3 linked regions of the Rhinolophus ferrumequinum genome follow. The protein of the gene in region 2 interacts with the protein of the main gene of each other region in a pairwise test. Links are inferred from orthologs where the notes say so. Each region holds a gene or a part of one and is shown on either strand. Other genes may lie near its edges.

The links. The genes of interacting proteins can lie anywhere in the genome.
Region 1: the proteins of VTI1B (region 2) and PTPN5 interact in binary tests that used the Homo sapiens proteins (3 or more experiments, as listed by UniProt). The two-hybrid records come from large-scale screens. The link is inferred for Rhinolophus ferrumequinum from reciprocal best matches to the Homo sapiens genes VTI1B and PTPN5.
Region 3: the proteins of VTI1B (region 2) and LDLRAD1 interact in binary tests that used the Homo sapiens proteins (3 or more experiments, as listed by UniProt). The two-hybrid records come from large-scale screens. The link is inferred for Rhinolophus ferrumequinum from reciprocal best matches to the Homo sapiens genes VTI1B and LDLRAD1.

Annotation. Positions count from the first base shown.
Region 1 is NC_046294.1:35,297,713-35,305,698, reverse strand, and holds the start of PTPN5 (tyrosine-protein phosphatase non-receptor type 5), read right to left. Parts: upstream 3,012-7,986; 5' UTR 2,828-3,011; intron 1-2,827. UniProt on the Homo sapiens protein: May regulate the activity of several effector molecules involved in synaptic plasticity and neuronal cell survival, including MAPKs, Src family kinases and NMDA receptors.
Region 2 is NC_046289.1:29,057,965-29,065,404, reverse strand, and holds the start of VTI1B (vesicle transport through interaction with t-SNAREs homolog 1B), read right to left. Parts: upstream 3,021-7,440; 5' UTR 2,809-3,020; coding exon 2,694-2,808; intron 1-2,693. Other genes in the region: RDH11 (retinol dehydrogenase 11), read right to left, coding at 6,852-6,954. UniProt on the Homo sapiens protein: V-SNARE that mediates vesicle transport pathways through interactions with t-SNAREs on the target membrane. These interactions are proposed to mediate aspects of the specificity of vesicle trafficking and to promote fusion of the lipid bilayers.
Region 3 is NC_046292.1:38,714,011-38,721,453, forward strand, and holds the start of LDLRAD1 (low-density lipoprotein receptor class A domain-containing protein 1), read right to left. Parts: upstream 3,012-7,443; 5' UTR 116-3,011; intron 1-115. Other genes in the region: TMEM59 (transmembrane protein 59), read right to left, coding at 3,665-3,820.

The DNA of each region.
Region 1 (7,986 bases), on a different chromosome or scaffold from region 2:
CTTGGCACTCAATGCCCCCAGCAACTACTTCCACCCTCCTACTCAGCCTTGCTTCTCACTGCTCCTCTTTCATCCCTTTTGCACCAGTTGGAACGAACTGCTTTCTTGTTTCTACACGTGCCCTAGAAGCACTTATACTGTTTCCACTACTTGCAATATTTCCCCTCCTTTCTTCCATTGAACAAATCATTTAGACCCAGCTCAAATGCTACCTAGCTTCTCCAAGAAGCCATTCCTAATCTTCCAGAAGAATAAAACCCTCTTTCTTCTCCACTCTTTCCAAGGGGTTATCTACCTTTCTTTTAGGACAGATCTTGGAAAAGGACAGGCACTGTGACATAGAACAAAGAGTTCATAATCTAGAGTCAGATGATCTGAGCTGGAGGTACAACTCTCTGGCTCTGAGACTTTTACAGGACACCCCCGTAGATAAGTTAAACTCTGAATCTTAACTTCCCCATCTATAAAATGGCAACAATAACACTATTGATATCATGGGTGTGTTATGAGGATTAAGTATAAGTTACAGAGTGTAAGAAATGCTTTGGCACAATATAAATTAATAAATTGAATCACACTTAGGTGTGAAATAACTGATAAAACAAAAGTGCGACTTCTCCCAGGCAGTTTGCCTGGATGTCTTATGCTGGCTGAGCCTCAAATCCAGGAACAGGTCGGAGGGGAGGGATTTTGAGGGAGAGGGACTTTGAGGCCCTAAAAATCCCATTCCTTGGGCAATCTGAAAAAGGGAAGAAGTGAAGGGTATAGCCATAAAGCTGGAGCCCTAATGGTATTATAGTTACTTATTCCTGAGCTTTTTCTAGGCCCCAGGCACTGTGCTAAGTACCCTTCATAAATTATCTCATCTCATTTCTTCACAGAGTCATAGAAGAAAACCAGGCCCACAGCAGTTATAAAATAAGTGCTCCCCTTCCCACCCCCAACAATGCAGACATGCAAGATATCCTGAAACTCTTCAAAATGATGATCTTATTTTTGGGATGGAGAAACTGAGACCCAAGAGGTTATGAGCGTTTAATGAAACTGTCCAGCCCGTGAGGAAATGGGCCTGGAACCCAGATCTCTTCACTCTCAGGGTGGGAGCCACTGCGTTGCAAAAAGGGGCCAATACTCATTATGAAGTCTACACAAATGGTGCTTCTGGGGCACAATGCCATTTAGGCGGACTACAATATGAATTGTGGCTCCTGGAGTTAGTCAGGTGGTCACCCTGGCTCTGCTTCATGCCACACTGCTCACCCCACCCAAGAAGGAAGCTCCTGAGGCAAGAGGCCCCTAGAGACTGAACCGTGCCCTCCTTGCCAACTATCCCATCCAATGGAGTCTCCTCAAAGGTAATTGGCTTTGTCCATACACCACCCAGCTTGCTCTCCTTCAACATACCTCTCAGGGCACCCTCTCTGTGCCCTTGAGGGAGCCTTGCCCTGAGCTGTCACCCGAGCCTGATAAGGCTGTAACTCAAGCTTCCCCAGTAGCTTTGTCAGCAACACCAACAACCACACTCAACAAACATCAAGGAGGAAGAGGTAACCTGACATGAAGGACTTGAGGACTTCCATCCACGGAGGGATGATGAAAGGGGCCTCGTAGGATTAGAAGACCTAGGCCTTTACAAAGGAGGGAAGAGTGACGGCGAAAGCATGCAGTCAGGCAGGTCAAAGTAGGGGAAGGGGATGACTCCTTGAATGCCACATCACCTGGTCCAATTGAGGACACAGGCCCAATGACTCCTGGGAGAACCAGGGTGTACACCTTGGAATCTGATCTGTCCAGGACTGATTCATTCTCTAAAACTAAACCCCAAACCTGGAGCACTTGCATAAGAAGAGAGCTCTCCTCTGAGGCGGAAAGAGGCAAATGAAAGGCTAACCCCCCCCTTTTTTTTTTTTTACAGTAAGGATGGTAGTAAATGAATGGCACCTGCTGCTCCGAGTGGGGGCGGGGCTGGAATTACAAAGACTTTCAAGGTACACTCAGATGAATTCTGGGGTTCTGAGGCTTCAATGGGAGCAGGATAAAATTGTGTAGGGGTGCGGAATGAGTATGAAAGCCGGGGACCCCAGATTCTAATGCAGGCTTTGCTACTAATTCTCCGGTGACCTTGGTCAAACCGCATCACTGGGCCTCAGTTTCCCCATCTGTAAAATGAGGGGGTTAAATGAGTTCCAAAGGTTCACCTTATCCTGACTCTAAGCCACATGATCCTTGTTAAGGTGAAACCCCTTAGGGCTCTGACCTAGGCAGTCTCCAAGTTTTGCAGGAACCTGGGCCTCATCTAGAAAAAAGGGGCATCCTGGAGGAGGGGAATGCGCTGGGCTTTTATTTTGGAGGTAGGTGGGAAGCGAGTGATTTAAGCTACATGGTCCGGGGGAGGAGAAGCGAACCAAGGCTGAGAGCCGCAGTTTACAAGCCAACAGGCTAGCGGCGATCTCTAACCTCCTTCCGGAGCTTCAGACACTGGAGAGACGATGCTGCCAAGAACCGCGCGCGCACAAACCCTGGTCGCAGAGGCTCGGACCCGGGACCATCACCCCATCCCTCCCTAGCATCGCTTCCGAGCTCCGTGGGGAGTGGCTGTTACTCCCTCCCGGCTCCCCAGCGCCCGGCCCCCTCCCGCAGTGTGGGGGACCCCTCCCCCAGCCCGGGGGCGTCGGAAGCCCTATGGGGGCGTGGCGGGGGCGGGAGCGGGTTCCGCGGCCCTGGGGGCTGGAGGAGGTCTCAGTCGCGAGGCCGCCCCGGGAGGGACCCCGTGCCCTCCGCCTCCCAGCTCCCCACACAAAGGCGCCGACGGTGACGCCACACTTACCGGCCAGAGCGGGCTCCGGGCGCCGGCGAGCGGGCAGGCAGGCAGGCCGGCGGGAGGTTGTGCAAGCGAGTGTGCGTGTGTCTGCGTGTGTCCCTGTGAGTGTCTGCGCGAGTGTGTGTGTGTGTGTGACAGGGCCTCGCTAAGCTCTATGCGTCTGCGTGTGCGGGGGCGTCCGTCCGTGGGTCTGTCCGCCCAGCGCTCTGTCCCGCGTTCCGTGCGCGCTCCTTCGCGGGACCGCCCCACCAAATGCGCTTCAGCTGCGGAGTCGCGGGCGCAGCTGCGGGGTGGGTTCGGCACCCCCCAGCCCCAGCTCCGCCCCGCCTCCCGGCAGGCTTGTGCAGCTCCCCGGGAATTGCGCAGGGCCGGCGGGGCTGGAGGGCGGGAGGTGGGAGCTCCGGCAGCGCCCAGGGCCCGAGTGAGGCCGATCGCAGACCCTTAATCCTGACCCAGATCTCGGGCGCCCCCTCCCCGACTCTGCTCGGAGTCCCCGCAAGCACCGCCCCCGCGCCGAGGTTGCCTGGACAGGGAGGGCGGGGTGACAGGAGAACCGCATCCATTTCATTCATGACTTTCTCCTCCTGGGAGCCCCAGGCCCGGGCTGCGCCGCTACGGCGAGTCAGAGGGATCCCCGCGGCACCGTGCGCGCCGAGCCCGGCGTGGGACAACAGGCAGACAAATGGGGGTAGGGGAAAGTGAGACAAAGGGGTCAGGGCTGGGGGCGCGGGTGTGTTGCGTGGAGGGGCGCTGTGGCGTTACCCTCCTGAGGCTCGCACGATGCCCACACCTGCAGAAGCCGAGTGGTTGCATACCGGGGTTCACACAGTGCCGGGTGCCCGGGACCCGCTCTAGGGCTGGGAATAGGCAACCTCCTTCCTCCCCTTGCCTTTCAGTCTCTGGGGAGCAAGGTATTCCTCTGCCAGGTCTTGCCCTCCGGACGCTTCGCGGGGCGCGCACCTGTCTTGCCTTTCTCGTGGGCACCAGGGGCCCGGGCGCGTAAGGAAGCCCACAATCCCACATTCCCCAGGCTGGCACTCGGTTGGCCAGAGGTTCCTGACATTCCATCCCGATGTTTTTTTTTTTTTTTTTTAAGCGTTGGGCTGTACACAGGGCGGGGATCCTAAGCTCCATTTTTACATGAGGAAACCGAGGAGCACACCACACAGCTACAACCATGGCTCCAGCCACCATACTCTTTCGCCTGGTTTTCGGCAATCGCCTCCTTACCGGTCTCCCTGCTTCCACTCTTGGTACCTTGCAATTGATTCTCTACACAGCAGTCTGAGCGATCCTTTAAAAAAGTAAGTCAGATCACGTTGCTCCTTTATTAGAAATCCTACAATCGCTGTCCATTTCATCCAAGTGACAGCTCAAGCCTCTATAACTGCCTGCAAGGTATCTCATGAGCTGGCTCCCTTTTAACTTTCCAACCTCACTTCTTACCACTCCAGGCCTTTTTAATGCATCGCCAACACGGCAACCACTCTGTGGCCTGAGGACCTTTGCCCTGCTATTTTCTCTGCCTGAAAACTTCCCCCAGATAGTCACAGGGCTTGCTCCTTTACCTCTTAAATGTGTCACTTCAAAGAGGCCTTCTGTGACCATCCTATTTTAAATTGCAGGCCACTTCCCCCATTTTCTCCATGGTAGTCATGATCTTTATTTTGTGTTTCCTGCCCCTGAGACTCTCTGGCTCTTCACTGCCAGCTCTCACCTCAGTCCTCCTGTACCCGGTTCACCCAGCCTCACCAGACCACTCTGTTCTATAAAAAAACAAAAACACACAAAAAACATATTTCCCCATTTCTTGCCTTTGCTTGTGCTGTACATTCAGTCTGGAATGGCATCCCTCCACATCTTACCTAATTTTTAAGGTGCAGTTAAAATACTTCCTCTATGGAGCCTTCCCTCATCTTCCCAGGGACACTTGGCCCCTCCTTCTTTTCTGTTTGCTGTAATTGCAGTTCTTTGTATTTTCCCCCAAGTGCTCTGTGAATTCCTGGGATAGGGCTGGGTCCCTTCTCTCTCCCTAGTTCACAGAACAGAAGGTACCAGCAGTGCATGTGTGTGGATCAAGGACAGTGAAGGGAGGCCCTTGCCTGGGCCTTGGTTAGTCTATAGAAGGGGCACAGAGCCCTGCTAAGTCTTCTTGTTATCCCCAACTAGTCTCCGGTGGGGCGAGGGGAAGGGTAGATAACTGCCAGATAACCAGTTCACGATGCTTGGCCTGTGTGGCAATGTGGGTAGACCCGTCAGCTGGTGCCCAAGGACACGCGCTCTCTCCTTGACAACCGTCATCTCTGTGGTTCAGCATAATGCTGATTTTCCCCAGACGGTATCACGGTAACAGCGGCAGCTACCATAAATGAGTGAATACTATGTGCCAGGTACAGTTTAGTGTGTTTTCAATGCACTGCTATGTTTAATCTGCATGGCAGCTTTGGGAGGGAGGCATTTTGATATCCCTGTTTTTAGGAGCAGAACCAGAAAGAATAAGTGACTTACTTAAGGTCCTCCAGTTGATAGGTGAGGGGTGTGTGTTTCAAATTCAGATCCAGCTAATTCCAAAGCTTATAGAAAGCAGGGATGCCTTAACAGGGCAGGCCCTGGGGGCTGATGGAGGTGAGGGGAGGGGCTTAGGGAGCCTCAGCCAGGTCAGCCTGTCCTAGATTCTTGCTGAACTCAGTTCAGCTAGGGAGTCACAGAGGTATGGCACTGCAGAAGGGCTGGGAACTTGCAGGTTTCTGTCGGTGGTACCTCTGATGGCCTGTGGTGGAACCTGGTCCTTGGCCTTTGTAGTCAATTTCAGAAGACCAGAGCTGCCTCTCAGACATTCCTAGCTGTGTGCTCTGGATTCAAGTCCAGCCCTAGTTGTCAGATGTAGATAACAACGCTTATCTCAAAGGATTATGGCGAGGAAGAAATGTGGTGATATACTTAGAAAGTAAGGGGAGCTCAAAAATGATCTTTTCCCCTTACTTCTTTTTTTTTAAAAGATTTTATTGGGGAAGGGGAACAGGACTTTATTGGGGAACAGTCTGTACTTCCGGGACTTTTCCAAGTCAAGTTGTTGTCCTTTCCATCTTAGTTGTGGAGGGCACAGCTCAGCTCCAGGTCCAGTTGCCGTTGCCAGTTGCAGGGAACACAGCCCACCATCCCTTGCGGGAGTCAAACCGGCAACCCTGTGGTTGAGAGCCTGCACTCCAACAAACAGCCATCTGGCCTCCTGGGAGCTGAGCGGCAGCTCATTGACTTCATTCTAGTTGCGGAGGGCACAGCTCGCTGGCCCATGTGGGAATCGAACTGGCAGCCCCGTCGTCCAGAGCTTGCGCTTTAACCAACTGAGCCACCGTCCGCCCCTCCCCTTACTTCTTGGAGGGAGTTGCTATCATATAGGGATGTACTTAAACGAGTTTCCTCACCCCATGTCTGCCCTGTACACCCTCTTAGAATAGCTTCTGATTCCCATAGTCCATTGAGTGTTGCCCTGCGGTGCAGGTAAGGAAGAAAAGTCTAACAATTATTGAGAGCTTTACCAATAGCTATCCTTGTTTCTTCTCTTCATTCTCTCTTTTATCTGCACAGACACCTTAGGAGGGAGCTATTGTTATCACCAACAAGGAAACTGGAGCCCAGAGAGGTCCAGGGACTTTCCCATGGCCACCGCCCTCACTAGGTAATGGCCGTAATGAGATTCTAACCACGTCTGACTCTGCATTGAGCCAGCACTCTTCCCTCAGCCCATCACCATGCAAAGCAACCCCAAGTTCTTTTCTCTTCTCTAATGGGGAAGAAGGAAAGTTCTCTGAAACCCATGACAATGAAGTAGTTGTGAGGTTGGGAGAATTTAGGCTTATTGGGTCATTTTGTGTGACTCGTTTGCTCTCTCTTGATAGATGGAGGAAGAGGTGTTTGTGAAAGAGAAAGATGGTCTGGTAACCAGAGTGTCTTGCTGGTATTTTCTGATGGACTGTTAGAGATTAGAGTCAATATGTTTTGTTTTTTGGCCTCACTTGCAGTTCATTCTTGGTAATAAAATGTTTTGCTTGAGTGAAAATGTTGCCCTATCCAGATTTTTATTTATTTACTTATTTATAATCCACCCAATCCACAAAGGATTTGAGGTAGCTTACCACAAGAGCAGAAACCATAAAACAATGTTAAAATATCAACAAGGATGGAGAATCAGGACGGAGGAAAGCGTAAATAAACTTTGAGAGACAAGACCAGGCTTAATACCGTGTTTCCCCAAAAATAAGACCTACCCCGAAAATAAGCCCCAGTTAAGATTGTCGGCCAGATGGACGCATTTGATACGTTATGACGATGTTCCAGAGGAAGATGACATGACTGTATTTGGGTAAATACAGATTGTTGTACATGAAAAAATAAGACATCCCCTGAAAATACGCCCTAATGCGTCTTTTGGAGCAAAAATTAATATGAGACATGGTCTTATTTTTGGGGAAACACGGTATAAGACCTGGTCTCATTTTCTGGGAAACACGGTAATTGCAGATGATTTTTACTGAGTTCTTTTTGTATGCAAATAATTTATGTACATTATTTCATTTCATCCTTCAAAGAGCCCTGTTAAGGAGGTGGTATTATTATCTCCGTTTTGAGGTATAGGGAGCTGAGGCTCAGAGAGATTAAATGTGATACCCAAAGTCATGTAGGTAGTAAGTGGTATAGCCAGTGTTTGGATCCAGTTTGATAAGGAACTTATGTCCTTAACCACTTGTCCTGTCCTGCCTCTCTGATGGACAAAAGACCACAAGTTTGCAGACCACAGGGCCCTCTAGAGGGCTGAGCCTCAAATTTGGTTCTGACCTTTTTGGATGCCAAAAAGAAAGGGAAACAGTCAGTTACATAGAACTAGTGCCCTCACATCCTTCAAATCTCTGCTCAAGAGTCACTTTCTCAAGAGACCTACCCTGACCAATCTCCTTAATCAATACTGGAGTCTGTCTTCTTCTGATCCCTTCAGTAGTCTCATTCTCCGTTTATCTTTTCTTCTAAGATAGCACATTTTACCTTCTAACATTGGAGAACTTCTAAACTATATAATATATATATATATATATATATATACAATATATATTTTATATAACGTAAGGTATTCTATGATACATTCTATATTAATACACTTATTTATACAT
Region 2 (7,440 bases):
TCAGATACTTAAAGTCCTTAACTGATTCTCCATCTCGAGTATACATGTCTTAATGTGACACTTAGGTCCCTTCAAGATCTGGCTGTGTCTCACTTTCCTCATCTACGACCACTCTCCCACATATCCTAAGCTCCAGTCACAGTTATGAGTAGTCAATATTTTATTCTTTTGTTGCCTCTTCCCATTTCCTCTTTGTCGGGCACACTCCCATTCAGCCACTTACACTCAGTTCGAAGTTCTCCTTTCCGCAAAGCTTCCCTCTCGCTCCCCACACCCAAGTTGTTAGCCTTTTTTTCAGGTCTCTTATTTTGAGGCTCACCACACACTTTGTTGTAAATTTGCTCCTATTTAAGGCAAGAACTCTCTCTCGGACCTCCTTAGGGCCGAGGAGAGTGAATGACACATAGTAATTCTCAATGTTTATTGAAAAATGACTGAATTTAATTACAATGCATAAGCTAAATGCAAGGACTGTGTTATGGGTATTATTCAGTGGCTAATAATTCGTGATGGAAATTAAAGCTCTGGAAAGCTATGAAGTAGTCCTAGAATTAGAAAAAAGGATTCAGAAGTGAGGCCCAGTGTGTTTGCTTAATATTTATTGAACAGTGTGAACAGGTAATGAATAAGGAGATTGAAAGTTGCTGAAATTCTTACTACAACCTGGGGATATGTGTACATTGTATTTACTTACCCACTGAACAACTAAGTCTGTTACCATCAATTTGTGTTAGAGTATTTTGTGCTTGGGTAAAAATTCACACCGTTTTGATTGTCCTCTTTGCAGAAATGAGAAAAGGCTAGGTAGATGACACAGGTGAATATAACTAACTCAGTGTTCTATTTTTCAAACAGAATGCATCATTTAGCCTTGCAGAAATGGATATTGCAAAATTTAATTCAGCACCAAGTTGAAAACACAGTATTTTTCAACCATGTAAATCAGATCGCATCACTCTCCTGCTCCATACCTTTTAACTGCATCCCATCTCATTCCGAAAAAGATGTAATCTTTCACCATGGTCTACAAGGCCCCACGTGATCAGGCCTGCCTACCTCTTTCCAGCCTCATCTACTAGCACTATCTCCTTTGCTCATTCCACCTCAAACACACTGGCCTTCTTGCTCTTCCTAGAACATACCAAGCTCATTTTTGCTTAAGGAGCTTTGTAAGAGCTATTCCGTCCTGTTGACACTCACTTCTCCCAGATTTTTGCATGGTTTACTCCCTTACTTCATTCAAGTCGGCTCAAATGACATCTTTTCAAAGAGGCCTTTCAGGGCTACCCTATTTAAAATTAGAACGCCCCCTCCCTCTATTCCTTTGCCCTGCTTTATTTTCCTGTACAGGCGTACCATGGAGATACTGCGGATTGGGTTCCAGACCACCGCAACAAAGAGAGTATCACAATAAAGTGAGTCATAATCTTTTTGCAGGTGGAGGGTCTTGCCTTCAGTTTGCAAAAAAACGCAACATCTGTGAAGCACAGTAAAGTGCAATGAAACGAGATATGCCTGTGTTGTCATTAACACGGCCTCTTAATATTTATATATTATCATCAATCCACTAAAAAGGGGATTTGTAAGTCTTTTCAATATTTTGAAAAGTAATCTGCAGTATGAACAACATGTAGGGCAGTGCCTGGTACAGAGTAACCTCTCCCAATAAATACACGTTAAAAAAACGTTATCTATTTCATTTTCCAGTCATTCAAGTCCTAGGACCTTGGGTAACTCACAGAGCTAATACTCAAGCTCTGACCCTTAAATGAAAACAATGAAACAAAGTCTTATCTGCCTTGCCATCAAGATCTAGTTCGTTCTGAGGCAAAGAACTATGTATGCTTCCTATGGATTTAACTCAGGGGTGTCCAAACTGCGGCCCGCGGGCCAACTGCGGCCTGCAATCAATCCATTGTTAATTGGCCCGCAGCAAATTCCAAAAATATATTTAGTTTACTTAAATAAACCAGGTGAGGCAATACGTACTTCACCTCCAGTGAGTGGCCCAGCTGTTTGTGTATTTTACTGCATATGGCCCTTGGTGAAAAACGTTGAAAAAAGTTTGGACACCCGTGATTTAACTGGACGACTCTAGCTACTCCAGACAAACCCTGCAGCAACCTGAATTTTGAAATCAAGGGGCAGGAAACAGTCTAAGCAGAACGTAAGAGGACCACACCTAAACACTACAATCCTGATTTTAAAGACCAATTCCTCAAAACTGATATTTACCAACCCCCAAAGTTATGATTCCTTTGGGTTCTTAACCCTTTTAGTGCTACGGATCCTTTGTCAGTCTGGTGAAAACTATGGACCTCTTCTGAGAATAATCTTCTAAATGCATAAAACAAAACACAGAGAGCTACAAAAGCAAACACTTTTACTGAAATACAGGACCGCAGATTTAAAGTCTCCTATGCTCTTCATGCCAAAGTGAAAATAAGACGAGAAAATTTTGCAGGCTATAGGAGGATCAAGAATTCCAAGGAAACGACACTCCAAGGTCCATCCCTGAGCACCCTAAGAGGCAACAGGGAGATGCTGGGCGCCGGGACCCAGCCCACTTTAGGGGGCGTGTTTGAAGATAAGGAGCGGAAAGAAGAGGACCCAGGTCTGGAAGAAGAGTGGGAGTTTTTCCTCCCTGAACGCGCGGGGCCGAGTTTCCCACGGCTCGGCCCGCCCCGCCTCACCTGTCCCTGCAGTCCCCAGGAGCCGCTCCGGCACCGCTCGTAAGTCTTCATGGAGGCTGCGGAAGATCTCATGTAATTTCTCGAAATGCTCGGAGGAGGCGGCGGAGGTCGCCATGGCGCAGGCCGCGCTCCAGCAGCGGCCGCGGAGATCCTGGGTCCGGGACCCGCTCCTAACCCGGCGGCCAGCCACCTAGCCCCGCAGGCATCTCCGCAACCACAGCCACCACCACCGCCACCTTGGACCAGGCGCTTCCGGGGCTGCGGCGGGGTCCTCCAGAGCCGGAACGCCCACCCCTTCATCTGTCACTGAGGGAGCGCCGGGCGCGAAAGCCTGATGGAAAATCTACAGGACTGAGCTGCTGGGGCGACTCCTGTGGGACCGACGGCGCACCGCAGTGAGCGACAGTCCCGCAGTCCCGGAAATACCAATCCCATGGCAGGGGAGTGTGCCACAGAGGAAAGGACTGTGGGGATCCGTGGCACCGGCAGCGCGGCCGCCTCTTTTTAGGGCCCTGGCTTCCGGCATCGGGCTTACGCTGCAGTGCATGCCGGGGGCTGTAGTTCGGCGGGGGAAAGCGCTCCGACTCAGAGGTCAAGCTTTGCGGGGGTCGGTGGTTCCTCCAGCGCCGTAGCAGCGAAGGGTTAAGCTGACACGCAGTGGTTTGGTATCAGTATGCGCCCGAACATCATCTTCATTCTAATCGCACTGTTTGGCCACCCTAACTTCCTTAGTTCACGACCTGTTGGCTTTCAGCCTCGAAAGGTAGAGGGGCCCGGTCCCTGCTTCTCCTCGAGCGTTAGGTAAAGCACTTTTTCTGGGGAGGTCAAGTGACCAGGGTCACATTCTTTCAGAACTCGTCCCCCGGTGGTGTGATCCCCAAAACAGACTCAGCCTCTAGCAGCTGGGCTGGCCTTCGTGCAATCCTTCGCTCAGCAGGTGTTTAACGTTAAGCGTAATCACTGTGCAGGGGTCTGGCATATGTTGGTGAATGAAAGATTCACTCTGCCCTTGGGTAATTTATAATGTGGTAGGCAAGGCGACGCGGCTTCCAGTCTCCTTCCCACTAAGTGTGATGTATTAACAATGTCCTTTCCTGCGTTCCATGGTTTTCATGATTCAGTGAAAGGGAATTCCTATTTTTACTGATTTCATGATTTGCCCAAGGACCCCGTTCTGAAATGTTTGCTTGGCAGCCCTATACTTTAAACTGCCCACTCATATTAAGAGATATATGACTGTTCAGGAGGAAAGATCTGGTGATTTATGTTTCCTGGACCCGACCCTTATTTTTATTGAGTTCACTGACCATTGATGGAACAAACTTTTGTTGAGCTCCTTATATCTATTAAGCATAGAGAGATAGCAAAGTCTGAGTGTTAGTGGCAGTGTACTGAGAAGTCCCATAGCATGTTATAACAGGAGCAGGTACAAAAAGGAGATAAATGCCCTGGGATCGAAAGAATGACCTTTGAGGGGCCTGCCAGGTGGCTCAGGTGATTGGAGCGCGGAGCTCCTAACGCTAAGGGGGCCAGGTTGAATTCCTACCGGAGCTGCGCCCTCTACAGCTAAGATTGTGAACAGCAGCTCTCCCTGGAGCTGGGCTAAGGTGAGCAGCTGGAGGTTGTCGCGAGCAATGGGGTGCCTCCCAGGCCCCATACTGCCGCCTGCTGCTGTGAGCGGCCAACTAACAACCGGTGACCAACTGCTTCCGCCCAGAGGAGCGCAAGGCTATAAATACCAGCATGGGCCAGGAACTGTGTCCTACACAACTAGACTGAAAAATAACAGCTTAAACCAGAGTGGGAGGGGAGGCGGAAGAAGGGGGGAAAAAAGAATGATCTTTGAACAGCATCATAAAAGTAGAAAATAGGTGAATAAACAACAAAAGAACAAGACAAACAAATGAGAAACAAAAATTCATAGACACAATAGTTTAGTGGTTACCAGAGGGTAAGGGGGGTGGGGGGTGGGAGATGAGGGTAAGGGGGATCAAATATATGGTGATGGAAGGAGAACTGACTCTGGGTGGTGAACACACAATGGGATTTATAGATGATGTAATACAGAATTGTACACCTGAAATCTATGTAATTTCACTAACAATTGTCACCCCAATAAATTAAAAAAAAAAAAAGGTGAATGAATAATCAAATCATCACACAACTGAGTGAATGGCATTTCAGTCAAGTGTACTGTGGCTAGATTCTAGGACATATTATCCATAGAATGAGAAATGATCTGGGACAAATTATCCTTAGAATGAGAAATGATTGCATAACCATAATAATGAAGTGTTTTCTTCTTTTGACTATAATTAAACTTTCCTTTAATTGTTTCTGTTGACTCTAAACTTTCCTTTAATTCTTAGTTTTTATTCTGGAAAATAAAAACATGATAAACAATCAAAATATTTTCTTTGTCATTGACAGGTCAATATAAATTAAGTAAAATATTAATTCAGTTATTCTACTGTACTATTATCAGAAGTTTTCCAATTTTTCCATAAAATGACTGTTTCTGAATATATAGTTTAATGATCAAAACAAGTTCAACAAAAGATTATTAACTTACAAATATGAGAAGACTGGGGTCCTATAACTCTTTTCTCCACTGAGTAAATATATAATTGTCAGTTCAAGAAAATCACAAATAACATACTCTAAACAAGTGATAGAAACATTACCAATTCCTTAGACTTCCTTTGGCAGCATTACTTTTGTAAAAGCTCTCCAAATAAAATGTAGGTTTTTTTTTTTAAGCAAATAGACATTTTAATCTTGTCAAGATAATGTAAGGAAACGCCTTGAAAGATTATTAAATTGACTGTAACTGCCAATATCAGTCCTTAAGATAATTTTGTTAAATAACGAATTGAGGTGTTTTTTTTTTTGTTTGTTTTTTTCCTGCCATATTAGTTAACTGGTGCTTGTTAAGATAGTGCCTTAGCAGTCTTTGTAACTAAGGTGCTCTGCTCACCCTTAATTCTTCTTTAGCTGGATATTACCATCTTTAGTTGTTTTTTTTGTTAGTTTGTTTTTTTTAATCCTTAAGTAGTCCCTTCATTGCATGCATTATGTTCCAGGCTTATCCTCTTTTCTGCTACCCATGTGCTTCTTAGTGGGTAGGTATCAACATACAGAGTCTGCTTCTGCTTGCAGCTCTACCCATCTGTATCAGAGACTGGATGACACTGGTTTGCTCCAACTCTTATCATTTACCTGCACCAGGGTCCAGTTTAAGATTGTTCCTTTGTGGCTATTTTGAATTTTGTGAAAATACTCCCAACTGCATAAATACACAAGAATACATATACTCGGTAACAATCACCAAATAGCCTTTCCCCTTTTTCTGGTTTAAGAGAATCTCAGGCAAAAAGGGAGGCCTCCGTGGATCTGGGGTCAGTAACTGAAGTCAGGAAGCCTCCTTTCTCAAACTGCTCCTTTCACTATCCCCTTGCTGGTCAGAGAAACAGTAGGAAAATGACAGTTTAAACTTGATTTTTATTTCTGCCTTCCTCCGAATTTCTGCCATCCTACAAACTCCACAGACTGTTTAGAAAAGTTCTTTCATGGTCAAGGCATGGGAAAATGTCTTAGCAGTGGATTTAGGTTGTCAGAGAGAAAGCTGTGCCACAGTCCAGATTCAGCTAAATTTCTTGAAAGAATTCAGATGTTGGTGCCATGATGGTTTTCTTAAGAGGTGAGGGACAAGCCCTGCTCTTGAGCAAAGCCACTGTGACTCCTGGAGTTCAGCGGAAGCTGCATCACGGTCTTCTTCAGGTGAAGGTTGGTCAGTTGGTTGGTTGGAACTTCATTGTGAACACAGAGGGTAGAAACTAGTCCAGACTGCCTCAAATCAACCCTGCTAAAGTTTTGGTTCTCCTAGGTAGTAGGTTTCAGAAGGAAAATACGAATTTGCAGGTCATATGAAGGTCTACTTATCCTATGATATCTCTAGTAACTCTGGTAATAACAGAACCAAAGTGATTCTGGACAAGTGCAAGGTGTCTCGGTGAATCTGGCAGTGTACCCTGGATTTTACTGGACATCATGCTGGTAAGGCTGGAAGGTTTGTTCCATTTGTGCTCAAGGTTTTGGCCATCCTGAAGGAGAATCATTTTGGCAGGGTGCACTGAGTGGTCCAACTGCCACCACCCGTCAATCCATCGGGATGCCCAGCAGGTCACAGCTGACATCCCATAGCCGCCTTGCTATCGTCTCATTACGACCCTGCGCAGAGACCCAGGCCACATCGCAGTCACTGGAAGGGAAAGAGGGGTTTAAAGAACTGGGTTAAGAATGGAGTCCATTCTCCATCTGGGATAACGAATATGACAGAAAAATGACCCAGGGATAACGTCCTTTAGGCTCTTCACAAATCCAGCGTTAATCTCTTCATTCTCCAATCTTTACCCCAGAGAAAATGTAATTACATTTTAGATCTCACTAGACCACCTCTGATCAGAATGCTTTGTTTGATATAAATGCATATCATTTAGTCTTTATATCCCCCTTTGTATGTATATAGTATTTAACTATGATATCAGTGCCTGCCTGACACCTGTATATGTCCATCTTGTTCAAACAAATCTCTGAGGTCCTTTCTTCAGGCTTTGTACAGTGTCATGGAACTGAGATCCTGCTATTTACATTGGTCACAAATGTTTGGAGTGGAAAAAAACAAACAAAAAAAAAAACCCAACACACTTATTTCTGGTCTTCCTGCAGTTATAACTGTCCTTAAACT
Region 3 (7,443 bases), on a different chromosome or scaffold from region 2:
ATTTAATTACTTGAAGGAGTTGAAAAATCCACACTTAACTGTATGCTCTAGCTTCCCACAGAAGACTGCCGTTTTCCACTATCTCAGTTTTTTTTATCTGTATCACGGTACATACCTCCATCTGCAGACTCCAGTCCAGAATAAGTGGTCAAGGAAAGACGAATAAGGTACCTCATCCTGATGATGCTCAAATACAAACATGAAATGTTTAGCCACTGGAAACCTGGTGGGAGGGGCTCAAGAGCACACCAAGTTGGAGAAATTGGGTTGGCAAACTTAGAGCTTTAGGATGGTAAGTTGACATAGCATTATAGTTTAAAAATTTTGCCCAACATGAAGTCTGGTAAGAAGCTTGGGCTCCATGGAAAAGCCTTCCCAGTTTTTTTGGCAACAGTCAGACTGTGACCAGGTCTCAGAGGCTAGTCCTAGGCTTACCATCCAAACAAAATATAGGGTACAGAGAGCCTTATAGAGAAGAGTTCAAAAATATACATGAGGTAAAATGAAAGAAAATAGGAATATTGGGCATTTTAAAAAAGAGAAGTCTGGGAAGGAAACGAAATTTCCCATTTCAGTGTGGCTGGGTAGGTACGTAACTTAATAGATCCCAGCGGTTACCATAGAGCTAAGATATTGATGGCCTCTGGGCCTGCCCCTCTGGTCTATCTCCACATCCTTGTTGAGAGTTGTTCTAAAACTCTGCAACTCTCTTGCTTAAGGCCTTTCTATGGCTTTCCATCATGCTCAGGATCGAATCCAAGTTTAGTCAAGTCTTTTATTATCTGGTCCCATCTATTGCTATGCTTTGTATGCTGTATCTTAGCCTGCTAAATAATTTGTAGTTTCCCACCCTCTTGTCTCTAGGTCTTTGAGCATACTGCCCACGCCTGGAATACTACTCCCTGTATTTTGTTTGGATTTTCCTTTTCCTCCTAGAAGTTAGGGCCCTCCTATGTACTTCCGTAGTACTCTGCTTATCTGGTCACAATAATTACATTAATAATAATGTTTCCTTCTTTTAGACTTTGAGCAACTCGAGTCAGGCCCTGGGTCTTGTTTGTTGTTGCAGTCCTATCATCTAGCACAGGGCCTGGCACTCAGGCTCTCAAGTGGTTGCTGAATGGTTGAACTATAGATCTATAATAGGATATCTGGGCAAAATCACTGCCATGGGGTGGCAGTGATGGGGACTTAGTTGAGAACGAACCTCTAGATCAATGATTCCCAACGTGTGGCCCTAAGATACTTAAGAGACCACAAAAATTATAATAGAAATGGCACATTTATTTATCTATGATAAAGCCAGATGAACAACAGGGATAAAGTTGTTTGCTTTTGGCTAGAATATCAGCTGAGTAAAAACACTAGGCTTCACGTGCTGATCAGCTGGGCTGATGATACATCATAGGAATTTCTGAGACAAGAGTGATGGACCAGACGATTTGGCAATTTTTTATTTACCAAAAAACAATCATAAATAAAAGGTATCCATGAAGTTTTGTGAAAGACAGAATCTTGGGCCTAGATCATTATGGTGACTATTTTCATAATTGCCCGAATCAGTATGTCTCTTAGACTACGGACCTGAACCAAGGACCTTAGGAATCTGTGAGGTTTGAACCAGAGACTCAAGGGGCTTCAGAACTTCCCTAGGACCAAGACAAAGCATCTTCTCGAGAAGATGCTTTTTGTGTAGGAGGAAAGAAGGTGGTACCTGTCTCATGGAAACAAATGAAGCTGGACCCACCAAAGAAGGGCTAAACTGTTCCTTTAGGAGAAGGGGCCTAGAGGCTCGGTTTGGTTGCCTTCGTTAGAATTTTCAAGTCAAACACTTTTTATGGGTGTGTGTGTGTGTGTGTGTGTGTGTGTGTACACATGCATATATTTTTGGGGGGATATAATTTTTTTAAAAGTAGAACTTTTTTTTTTAATGTCAGTCTCTTTTAATCATGGTGAAATAAAATGAAGGCAGGACACGAGTATCTGAGTGCCTACTAAATACAAGGAATGATGAGGTATTTCCACATACAGGAATTGTCTCATAAACAAGAGTGGTAAGTTTACCTGCACTTGAATCAATATTGTCAGAGGGAACTTTATTTGGAAAGCAAACGGAAACAAAACCAAGGGAAGGTGAGAGAATGCAGGACAATCATCCAGTTGCTCCTTCTTATCTAGATATTCTTTTTGTTTTTATAAGGGAGGCCCTTCCTAACAGTGGGCTGACTCCTATAAATCTGCACGTTTTATTTCCCCCTTGGTTTGCTTCAGTTAAACCTGTGCCTGATATTAAGGAACTTAAGTGTGTACCATGGGTAGGGAATAAGACAATTGGGCTTTATTTTAAAGGTGAACTCCAATCCGTTCTTCATGTTTTGTAACTGTTTTCTCACAAAAAATAAGACATTGACTGCTTGATGTCAGCCTAGTAATTCCTCCTCTCTTCTGCATCTGGATGTGTTCACATACTTTCTAACCCTTTAGCTTCCGAATCTAGACAAACTATTTTAAAACGTGAAACCTATGTTTTGTGAACAAGGTCTTGTTAATTGTATTTTTTTTGGACTCAGAGAAAGCTTATGACTAGTCTGTAAGGTAAGTGTGTGACTCACTCTTTAGTCAGAAAGTGCTACTGCAGTTGTCAGCAATGCCCGTTGGTGAGGATATTGGTTTGCCAAGTTATTTAACATTTTATGGTATAAAGACACCGAATCATGTTAAGACTCTGGTATACTGTGTTACCTGATATCACTCTTGGCTTTAAATCTGTATTATTATAAAGGAATGATAATAATAGCTTTTGCCAAGTGAAATCTATACTTAATTCTGCATCACAAGAATCTAATTCTTACTGTCAAAATGAAGTTTTCTCTGAAAATATCTTAAACTTATACTTGATATACTTTCTAACAGAAAAGGTTCTTTGGAAAGACTTATCCAACAAAAGTCTACGGGCTGTGCAAATAACATAAAATGCACTTCTGAGAGGATCATTTTTGCTTCAATTTGTTCCCTGATCATATTATATAGCAATAGATAGAAATAGAATTTCTAGAGTTTGGCTAGGGGTAAGAAGAAAGATTGGAATTTTTGTCTGGGTTGGCTAGGGGTGAGAGGAAAGACTGGAAAATCAGGAGTCTATTAAACTCAATTTCCACGTAATTATTCAAATAAAATTTTAATAACTTCAGTTCAATCCAACTGAAAATGTAGTGTCATCAAAGGGCATTTCCTGCTAAATTTCAAGTTACAGGCTGTGGGCTATTTCTGAGCAGAAGCATCATAGTCTACTGAGCATTCAGCTTATTACCTAAGGTGATTGATGGCATCGTGGCGAGAGGTGGGGAAGAACAATGATCAGCTCATAGAATTTGGCTAAGAAAGAAAATAAACAAAAACAATGCAAATAATAATTAAAGTAGCTACAGATATTAAAATAAAAATACAACTCCAAATATTCACCTCTTAAATTACTAGGAAAAAGTTACAGGGAAAGTTACAGCAAATACAGTCTTTACAGATTTGGGTAACTTTATTTGCCTTTGATAGTGATTGTTAAGCCCTATATCCAATGAAACCATTTTTAAAAGCTCTATGAGGAATGGAAATTTAGATGTCTATTACATTTTTCTTAAAAAAAACAAACAAACAAACAAAAAAACCCTTAAATTTCTGAATGGGCAAGATTCACTTTTGTAGGTAGAGGCCCTGCTTCTTCGTGATCTTCAGCTTTAGATCTAACAACCACAAGAGAAGAAGCTGGGTATCTGTTTAGCTTTTGTTCGTTCACAAATTCCAAGTCACCATAGATACTCAGCTTCTGCAAAATAAAATCAATACACATTAGCAATTTGGATAATTAATCTCTCTAAGATTTCAAGTAATTTTTTTTTTTTTGGTAAAAATAAAAAAAAGATTGCTATAGACATTCTCAAGAATGAAGAATGCCTTTACTCAAAGTGTTACAAATATGAGATTCAGCTGCCAAGGATGGCCAAAAGAGTTTTTTCTACATGTCCCAACTTAAAATATTTAGAAGTATAACAACTGAGTATCAAGAAAAAATTGCTCAGATTTAAATGAAGTTAGTGTGGCCACACCAAGAGCTCTCATTCTAGATGTTTGATATCTTAAGTGATTAATTCCTTTAACTCTTAACTCTCCAAACAAGTTGTCAAATGATTTGATTTAGTTTCTCTCCTCCTAAATGTTTTAACTTAATACATTTGGAAAATACGTGCTATTTTAAAAGGCTATGAGTAGAACAAAGAATATACATGAAACATTTTAACACTGATAGAAAGATCTTCATAAACATATAAAAGCTCCTCAAATTATTACCATTATATCCAAGAAGATAGTAAAACAAATCAAAGAAAGCATAAAACAGTCATTGCAAATGTCATAAAATTCACTGGAGTACAATGGTCACGTCTAATATCTTTGGAAAGTATTTTATTTAGATGTAGGTCTGTCTCCTAAAAGTAAAAAAGTGAAGTGAAAAGTTTTTACTAAGAAATGGGATAGATTTTGTTAACTCACTTCCTTGGCAACAAATCTCAGAATCATGAGTTAAAAATTGAAGTTCTGACGTTACTGATAGGGCAAGTGACTAGATTATACAGCAAGAACCACACAGAAGTACTTAATGTTGGAAAGGTGCATTTAAAAGACGCTGAATAAAGAGTTTAAGTACTTATCAACATTGATACATACTACAACATGGATGAACCTTGAAAATATTATGCTAAGTGAAAGAAGCCAGTCACAAGGGACCACATAGTGGTTGTCTATGGCTAGGAGTGGTGATGGTGGTGGTGGTGGTGGTGGTGGTGATGCTTGGGAGGAAATGAGGAGTGACACTAACAAGTGTGAGTTTTCTTTTGGGGGTGATAAAAATGTTCTAAAAGTGACTGGTGTGATGGTTGCTTACTTAAACATGTTTCAGATATGGTCTGCTGCCTACGCTTTCAAGGCAATTGCTACCCTATAATAAGAAGATGGCCCAGTACCTTATACTTTTGCAGTAAGAGAATAACTTCCAGACAAAATTCAGCAGTTGATGGATTGGACATGGATCTGATATATGTGGCCTCCTTAAAACCCAGAATTAACATGTGATAATTTGCTCTGAGTCATTGTGAAAGAAAAACTTTCAAAACTCTACCTAACAACATTTAAAGACCTTGACACAGCAACCAGGAACTGTTTGAATGATTTCAAACATCAACATGGAAGAAAGTGAAGAGATGGGAGGTGAGGTGGGAGATAACGTAAAGAACTAAATTCCTCATCCTTCAATAGGAAGACATTAGATAATATTTAAAGTTGATAAAACAAAAAAAAATAGAAGATAAAATTTAAAAATGGTAACTATTTGGAAGTTTTATAAAAATGACTGATTTATCTGAAGAGAAAAATTTAACTTATGTTACATGTATTACTTCTAAAAGTTAGAAAAATAAATTCAATTAGTAAATACATATTTGGGCTTTAGGCCTGGACTCTGTCAATAACCATTACACAATCTTGGATAAGTTACTTAAATCTTTTCTAAAACTCAGTTTCTTAACAGAATTTGGATTAAAAAGCTGTAGCACTCACATTGTTTTCTAATTGACTTTTTTTATAAGACTTAAAGCTTCTACAAGGATCTTGTAGAAAAACAAGGTTCTTAGTCTTGGTTTTTTGACAAAGAAAATACTGGTTATTATACTTTAAGACATATTTCACCCTACTTCCTGAGTCACAGAAACCTTTAACATTTAACTTTCTTCTGTCTTGATCTTATTCTTCATTGTATCTTTAATCCCTTGAACAGGGCCTGGCACATAATAAGTTATCCATAAATGTGTGTGATTTACTAACACGAATGTTATTAGGAGTCTTTAAAGCTCTTCTTAACTGACCACACAAAATCAGATGATCATGGTCTTGACAAATAGAGAAAAGGAAGCACACATATAAAGATATAATAATAAGGCAGCATCTATATCAACATCTGTTGCTATAGCGAATTTCTGAGGCTGCCTGATCTCTAGGAAGGAATACCCAATACTGCCAAACCCCATTCTGGTATGCCAAGATTGGCCTGCCTGTCAAGGACCACTATGAATGACAGACAACTCTTCATTATCTTAAATAGATAGCTCAACAAGAAAAACTGCCATCCCATTAATTTTAAAAAATGACATCATAAATGTGACAGAACAGAGGAAAAAAGTAAAGAGGATCAGAATCTTTATACATCAAGTCAATCAAATAACACCGCTTTAAGATCAACCAAGAAAATGAAATTCTTTGCTAACTCTTAATGGCTATTACAAATAAATGATATATAATAAATACCTAACTACTACATGCAAAGCAGGCTAAAGATAAATTATTTCAGAGCTTTCCTAAATAAGAAAAATAAAGCTGCTTATACATTCCTAAGACCACATTCCTGACCTTTATCACCACCATTTTAAGCTTTGTTTCAGTGACTGAAAAGGAAACTTTTTATATTTCATGTTTAAGCTCCAAGAACCAAGGCTGTACTAAAGACACACATTCTCTCAACAGGCTTATGATTTCCTACAAACATACAGAAACATATATAAATAATAAACACAATATAAATAACATTGGTCATAGATGGATTATTCTCGTAGGACTTAAAATGGAGTCTTACTATGGAGAGGGGTCAGCAATAACTTATGCTCCAATAAAATCAATGAAAAGACTTTCTGAAAGTAAAGTTTAAAATAAATGGCTTTTGGCCAAAAAAAAAATTGAATAACATTTCTAACGCTAAGTTCTCAATGATTTTTATAGTAAACAGAGGGGGAAAATATTTACACTGCAGTATTTTTAAACAAAAACAAAAACAAAAATTGTTTATATTGAAAGAAATCCACTAAAATGGCAACACAACAATATTTCTGGATGAAAGGATGATTTTTTTTTCCTGCTTCTTTATATGTACTTTACAAATTTCCACACTAAGTATACAGTATTTTTATAATAAAAATATAGTTGAAACAACCTTAATACCTAGCGGAAGTGTGGTTTCACATACAAAGTAAAGCCTAAAAGCAGTGAATCTAAATAGCTATTTCCACACACTTTTCTAGAAAATATGTCTCCTCAGAAAAGTCTAGACTCTTTGAGGGTGCAGCCATACTTTAATTGTTAAAGCTAGGAAGAAGAGTTCAAAGAGGGGCAAGAAAATAACATTCAGAAGGCAGATAGTTGGAGAGAATGTAACAGCCATCACCAGGTCTCCACGTGGGTCTAAATGCCTTAGGCTTTATGGTCACTAGGATCTAGGAGGCGGAAGTGGGAAAAGTGGGAGAGAATTTCTCACAGAATTAAAGCTATACAATCAAAATTTATTACTACAGAGACAACATCGAAAAGGAAAAGAAAGATCAAGAGTCACCTGGAAAGGAGGGAAAGATC